Linked DNA regions of Cricetulus griseus. The protein of the gene in region 1 interacts with the protein of each later gene in a pairwise test. Links are inferred from orthologs where the notes say so. Each region holds a gene or a part of one and is shown in the gene's direction. Other genes may lie near its edges. The genes, in order: Erbb3 and Ppm1b.

Evidence for each region.
Region 2: the proteins of Erbb3 (region 1) and Ppm1b interact in a two-hybrid assay, tested with the Homo sapiens proteins (2 studies listed by BioGRID and IntAct, with this or other methods). The link is inferred for Cricetulus griseus from reciprocal best matches to the Homo sapiens genes ERBB3 and PPM1B.

Annotation. Positions count from the first base shown.
Region 1 is NW_023276806.1:129,330,427-129,334,246, forward strand, and holds part of Erbb3 (receptor tyrosine-protein kinase erbB-3), read left to right. Parts: intron 1-604; coding exon 605-658; intron 659-2,642; coding exon 2,643-2,778; intron 2,779-3,703; coding exon 3,704-3,820. UniProt on the Homo sapiens protein: Tyrosine-protein kinase that plays an essential role as cell surface receptor for neuregulins.
Region 2 is NC_048598.1:86,591,945-86,595,764, forward strand, and holds part of Ppm1b (protein phosphatase 1B), read left to right. Parts: intron 1-2,089; 5' UTR 2,090-2,103; coding exon 2,104-2,949; intron 2,950-3,820.

The DNA of each region.
Region 1 (3,820 bases):
GCCAGAGATGGGGAATGAGATACTCAAGAGGGGTGGGAGTGGAGTCTCCTCTGTTTAGGAGCTCAGTTTGGGGCTCCCGGTGCCACAATAGGTTTGTTCTGAAAGAAGCTTTTATATGTAGAGGTTCTTGGACCTGAGTCTCTATTGTCTCTTAAAAAATTACTTTTAGGGCTGGAGAGATGGCTCAGAGGTTAAGAGCACTGACTGTTCTTCCAGAGGTCCTGAGTTCAATTCCCAGCAACCACATGGTGGCTCACAACCACCTTGAATGAGATCTGGTGCCCTCTGCCGGCATGCAGGCAGAAGACTGCATACATAATAAATAAAATCTTTTAAAAAATTACTTTTATAGGAGTTGCATGTAAAAACAATTACTTTATAAATATTTATTGTGTATATGGGCACAGTGTGTGCATGTGTGCTATGGTGTGTGTATGGAGATCAAATGACAACTTAAGGAAGTTGACTCTCTCCTTCCCTTATATGGTTTCCAGGGATCAAACTCAGGTCCTCAGGCTTGGCAGCAAGGACCTTTACTGCTGAGCCACCTTGTTGGCCCAAACCTCTATTGTCTACCCACTAATAAGGTGGTTTTCTTTTCTAGGTGTAAGGGACCAGAACTACAAGACTGTTTAGGCCAAACAGAGGCATTAATGAGGTAAGATGAACTTGGAGATTGTGGAACCCAGGAATATTTGGGAGAAAGACTGCTATTCATTCTGCTTTTTTTTTGGGGGGGGGGGCTGGGATCAAAGGTGTGCACCACCACTGCCTGACTCATTCTGCCTTTTGAAAAATGTTATGTGTATGGTTTTATCTGCATGTATATCTTTGCGTGACTTGTTTGCCTAGTCTCCTTGGATGCCAGAAGAGGGCATGGGATATCTTGGAACTGGAATTATGGATGCTTGTGAGTCATCGAGTAGGTGCTGGGACTCGAACTCAGGTCCTCCACAAGGGCAGCCAATGCTCTCCAGTGTCCCATTCTGCCCTTGTTTTAAAACTTATTATATGTATATATTTTAAGATTTATGTATTTATTTTGTATACAGTGTTCTGCCTGCATGTGTGCTGGCAGGCCAGAAGAGGGCACCACATCTCATTACAGATGGTTGTGAGCCACCATGTGGTTGCTGGGAATTGAACTCAGGACCTCTGAAAAGAACAACCAGTGCTCTTAACCTCTGAGCCATCTCTCCAGCCGCTATTTTTTATATTTTTTGTTGATTTTGCTTTTTGTGCTGGCTGGCACAAAACTTGTTATGTAGACCAGACAGGCCTATAACTCAGAGATCCACCTGCCTCTGCCTCCCTAATACTGGGATTAAAGGTGTGTATCACTACATCTGCCTTTTAAAATAATTATTTTTTATTTTTATATGTGTGAGTAATGCCTGAAGGTGTGTGTGTGTGTACCATGTGGGCCTGGTGTTGGGGAAGGCCAGCAGATAGCACTGGAGTCCCCTGGATCCGGAGTTATATATGGTTATGAACTATGATGTAGCTTCTGGGAACCAAACCTGAGTCCTCTGAAAGTGCTCCTAACAGCTGAACCATCTTTCCAGTCTCTTCCCTGCTACCCCTGCCTTTTTTTTTTTTTTTTAAGATAAAGTCTTATTTTATTTATTTATTTATTTATTGGTTTTTCAAGACAGGTTTTCTCTGTGTAGCTTTGGAGCCTATCCTGGCACTCGCTCTGGAGACAAGGCTGGCCTCGAACTCACAGAGATCCACCTGCTTCTGCCTCCCGAGTGCTGGGATTAAAGGTGTGCGCCACCAAAGCCGGGCTCAACTTTTTTATTTTTAATTACATGTATTTGTGTGACTCAGAAGAGGTTGTCAGATCCCCTGGAACTGGAATTAAAGGTGGTTGTGAACCACCATTTGGGTGTTGGGAACTGAACCCAGGTCCTCTGCAGGATCGGCCAGTGCTTCTAACCTCTGAGCCATCTCTCTAAACCCCCCTCACTACCACCCTTTAAATAATATTTGTTACTTATTCTTTTTGTTTTGTTTTGTTTTGTTTTTGTTTTTCCAGACAGGGTTTTGCTGTGGCTTTGGAGGCTGTCCTGGAACTAGCTCTTGTAGACCAGGCTGGTCTCGAACTCAAGAGATCCGCCTGCCTCTGCCTCCCGAGTGTTGACATTAAAGGCATGCGCCACCACTGCCCGGCCTTTTTGTTACCTATTCTTTGGAAATTTAGTACATTTATATAATGTATTTTGATCATACCAATCCACCATTATCTCCCACTAGGTCCCCCTAATGCCCTTAGCGTGTCCCCTTCCTGATTTCCTGTCCTCCTTTTTACTATCACTATTAATAATCCTGAGTCCATTTAGTGTAACCCATATGTGTGTGTGCGCGCGCGTGTGCACGAGCTGAACCGTCCACTAGGGTCATTCTTTAATTTATATATATATATATATATATTCCACCATCACTGGACTCAAGAATCATGGCTTCCGGCATTCCCTTCCTAAAATTAGCTTACACTAGCTTAGAAGTCTCATATTTAGGCTGACTCCTTCAGTGCTCATGGATATTTGTAGAGGTGAATGCTAACTCAGATGTATACCATATAAGTGACATTTGTGAAGCTGCTGTAAACTTAGGATGCTGGTCTTTTCTATATCCCATAGCAAAACCCATCTGGCAATGGCTGGGATGGTCGGACTGCCCGTGGCTCTTCTGATTCTGGGAGTCGTTTTTCTCTATTGGCGTGGACGTAGGATTCAGAATAAAAGAGCGATGAGGCGCTACTTGGAACGGGGTGAGGTAAGTATTAGCTTGACTTTGGGAGACACCCTTACAATCTGCTCCTGGGGTAAGTGGTAGGACATGGATGCTACTCCTCTTCTCTTTCCCTAGAATATAGTCCCTTTCTTTAAGAGGACAGTGTAGAGTGATGGATGCTTGCTCAACATATGCGAAGACCTGTCCAATCCCAGAAACACACATGTACATAGATGTACACACCAGTCCACACCAGAAGTGGGAACATGTATTGTCATCTTGCTCTTGCCATTTGCCATGACTTTGAAGGAACTGCTTTCCTTGTCTGTGCCTCAGTTTATGTAACTTAGATATAAACATTCATATTCATCGTTTATGTCTGATGGGTAGATATAAGGGCTGATGGGTTAGAGTGGTGTGGGGAGAGCTTGCTCGACAGATGTTTTGGAACATGGTGGTAACTCCAGAACTTAGAAGGCCGGGGCAGGGCAAGCCAGTCTGACCTATACAGCAAGCCCTCATCTTAGAGTGAGGGGAGAGAGGGATAAACAACAAGAACCAGCCTTGTGTGAGAGGTCTTCAAGTTGGAGTACAACTGTATCTCCTCCCCTCATGCTGCTCAGAGGGAAACCAAGCTTCTGGGTTCTTCTCTTGTAGACCAGGCTGGTTTCGAACTCAAGATCTGCCTGCCTCTGCCTCCCAAGTGCTGGGATTAAAGGCGTGCACCACCACTGCCCGGCAAACCTCTGGGTTCTTCTCATCAGCACAGTTTCCTCAGTCCTGTTGTTCCTTGAAGGACCTGTTGTTCCTCAATGAAACTACATTACTTTCCAGGACTAAAGACTGTCTTTCTTCCTGCCCTCAGCTCTGGGCTCTGCTGCCCTTGGCGTCCACCTGTGGGGGGCAGGTGGGAGTGGGCTTGTGGGAGTAGGCTTTTCTAAGTGTCTCCTTCCTATTTGCTCCTCAGAGCATCGAGCCTCTGGACCCCAGCGAGAAGGCAAACAAAGTCTTGGCTAGAATCTTCAAAGAGACAGAGCTGAGGAAGCTTAAAGTGCTGGGCTCTGGTGTCTTTGGAACTGTCCAC
Region 2 (3,820 bases), on another chromosome or scaffold:
GGTGCCTGGTCCTGACAGGGGCCAGAAAAGGGTGTTAGATCCCTTAGAACTGGAGTTCTATAGTTTCTGGAAATAAAACTCTGCGGAGCCATCTTTCCAGGTGCATTATATTCTTTTCTTTTTCTTTTTTTAACCAACAGTTTTTTAAGTCAGGGTTTTTTTTTTTTTTTTTTTTTTTTGGTGGGTGGGTGTGTGTGTGTGTGTGTGTGTGTGTGTGTGTGTGTGTGTGTGTGTGTGTGTGTGTGTAGCCCTGGCTGTCCTAGAACTAGCTCTTTAGACCAGGCTGGCCTCAAACTCACAGAGATGTGCCTGCCTCTGCCTCCCAAGTGCTGGGATTAAAGGCATGTGCCATCACCGCCTGGCCTAAATCTGTAATTTGTCCTAATAATTGTCACTTAAAGTATCAATGCCTAGTACACTTTTCAAAAGTTCATTTAAACTTTTTACAATCATTCAAGTATTGATTTGGTCAGAAAAATGAAAGTACTTCCCCAGAAGTAAAGCATACTAACTTGAGAAGTGTGTAAAACTAAGTTGTACAAGAATATGGTTGAACTATAAGGAACACTAATTGCAAACTAGAGGTCTTGCCCACTCTGGATAGACGATTCTGGGATGACGATTCTGGGATGAGAAAGAAAGCTTTCCTGGCCTGGAAAAACTTTATGGTGGAAGCCACATGTGTGCTCATCATACAGAAAGTGATAGTGGAGCTCTATAATGCTCTTAAAAGGCAATTTTTTTTGTTTTTGTGTTTTTGAAACAGGGTTTCTCTGTGGCTTTGGAGGCTGTCCTGGAACTAGCTCTTATAGATCAGACTGGTCTCAAACTCAACAGAGATCTGCCTGCCTCTGCCTCCCGAGTGCTAGGATTAAAGGCGTGTGCCACCACTGCCCTGCTAAAAAGCAAATTCTTACAGTAACACCCAGCTTTAAAATAAGGTCAGTTTGGACTTTATGAAAAAAATTATTTGTGGTGGGGCGGTACTTATGAGGCAAAGGCAGGTTGTAAGTCACTGCTTCAGGGAACAGTAAGTAGCTGGTTTGGGGGCGCTTGCTTGGGAGCTGGTTGGTTTGTTTTGAGAGGACTCTTGCTCTCTCTGCCTCAGCCTCATAAGTGCCTGGGATTTCAGGAGTATCTAAGGTGCCCAGCTGAATTAAAAAAAAAAAAAAAAGTCTTACCGAATTGTATTTCTCAGTTTTCTCTAGGAAATTCTGGTTGGCTGCTGAACATTGTTTAGTTTTTGTAGACTTGTAGCCCAAGCTGGCCTTGAACTCGGTTGGTTTTTTCCAGATTTGTTTTTTCTGTGTAACAGCTGTGGCTGTTGTGGAATTCCTTTGTGGCCTTGAACTCTTAATCCTCTTGCTTTTATTTCCCAGTGCAGGGATTTCGGGCTGTGTATGGTAGTTCACACTTTTAATTCCAGCACTCGGTAGGCAGGGGCAAGTGGATTTTTCTCTGTGAATTCTATGCCAGCCTGGTCTACATAGCGAGTTCCAGAGTGACAGAGACAGTCAGACAAACAACAAAAACCCACTGATGTCTTGATCTACCTGCAGAGATTCTGATTTAATTGGTTAGATTCTGTCATGTGCTGGGTTTAAAATCAGTGTATTAGCCAGTCATCGGTGATGCACTCCTTTTATCCCAGCACTCAGGAGGCAGAGGCAAGCAGGTCTCTATGAGTTCTAGGCCAGCCTGGGCCACAGAGCAAGTTCCAGGACAGCCAGAGCTGTTATACAGAGAAACCCTGTCTCAAACAAGCAAAAATATGAGGGGGGAAATAGCAATGTCTTAGGAGCTGGAGAGATGGCTCAGTGTTTAAGAACATTTGCTGTAGCTCTGTAACTCCAGTTCTATAGGCTCTGACGCCCTCACCCAGACATACACCCAGATGAAACACCAATCAGTGCACATAAAATAAAAATAAAGAAACCATTAAGAAGAGTGTCAGGGAACTAATGTTGTTACCCCACAAGTCAGCTAATATGGAAAATATATAGGAGATGAGTTGGTCCAGAATAAATGGAGCACTGTAGATAAGCTATGTCAAATTTAAACATTGAACACCATTTATTTTCTCTTTCAGATTCATTACTAAACATGGGTGCATTTTTGGATAAACCCAAAACGGAAAAACACAATGCTCATGGTGCTGGGAATGGTTTGCGATACGGCCTGAGCAGCATGCAAGGATGGAGAGTGGAAATGGAAGATGCGCACACAGCTGTTGTGGGTATTCCTCACGGCTTGGAAGACTGGTCATTTTTTGCAGTTTATGATGGTCATGCTGGATCCCGAGTAGCAAATTACTGCTCAGCGCATTTATTGGAACACATCACTACTAATGAAGACTTCAGGGCAGCTGGCACACCAGGCTCTGCTCTTGAGCCCTCAGTGGAAAATGTTAAGACTGGTATCAGGACTGGCTTTTTGGAAATTGATGAATATATGCGTAACTTTTCAGACCTCAGAAATGGGATGGACAGGAGCGGTTCGACGGCAGTGGGCGTTCTGATTTCACCTACACATATCTACTTTATCAACTGTGGTGACTCACGAGCTGTCCTGTGTAGGAATGGAGAAGTCTGCTTTTCTACCCGGGATCACAAACCTTGTAATCCGATGGAAAAGGAGCGAATCCAAAATGCAGGAGGCAGTGTGATGATACAGCGAGTGAATGGTTCATTAGCGGTATCTCGTGCTCTGGGGGACTATGACTACAAGTGTGTGGATGGCAAGGGCCCAACAGAACAGCTTGTCTCTCCAGAGCCTGAGGTGTATGAGATTTTAAGAGCAGAAGAGGATGAATTTGTCGTTTTGGCTTGTGATGGGATCTGGGATGTGATGAGTAATGAGGATCTCTGTGAATTTGTTAAGTCTAGGCTTAAGGTCGCTGAGGACCTGGAGAATGTGTGCAATTGGGTAGTGGACACTTGTTTACATAAGGTATGTAAACTTTTTTGTTTCAACTAACACTATTGATTTAAAAGAAATGGTAAGTAAACTGAAGTAAACTTAAAATTTTAGACCTCTTACTATTTTCTGTAGAGAATTGTGTATTTTCATAAACTTCTTTCAAGAAAATTAAACCTTTTTGTCAACTTTATCTGCCCCACCCTTCTAATTTGAAAAGTGACAACAATTATCTCAAATTTATTAAGCTTGTTTTATGGCTTCTTGATAATTCTGAATGTGTAGAATGATGACCTCTAATCTACATCCTTGATGTTATCAGTAGCCATCTTACTCATGACTTGAAACAGCTTAAAACATGTATGTAGTAGGATTCTGTTACTTACATTAAAATATCAAGAGTTACAGAAAATACAGATTCACCAAAAGCCAAGCTAGTAAAATTGTATTCTTGTCTTCATAGCACCTAAGACAAAAGCTGAAACAAATGAGTTGTCTCCTTTTTGTCAGTAAGATATCAGCTAAGTTTACACTAACTGTAAACAGTATAAGGTTAGTACACTACCCACATAGAAGGTAATTGAAATTCCTTTCAGATAGTTATTATCTCTGATTAAAAAGTCTAAAGCCTTACGGAAAATGTGATCCTAGGAAAATTTCTTGTGCAATTCTTAAAATGTCTTAATTGTAATTCTATGCAAAAATAGCAAAAAAAGGAAATCTAGATTTACAGATATTTGGCTGTTCCATTAAATGCCTTTATATTATTCAGTTCTTGGGCCCAGAGTACACAGATGCCTGTGGAGACAGGTTTATTTCTGTGAGTTTGAGGCCAACCAGGTCTATATAATCCCCCCCCCCAAAAAAAAAAAGAGAAAAAGGAAAAAAAATTCAGTTCATTCAT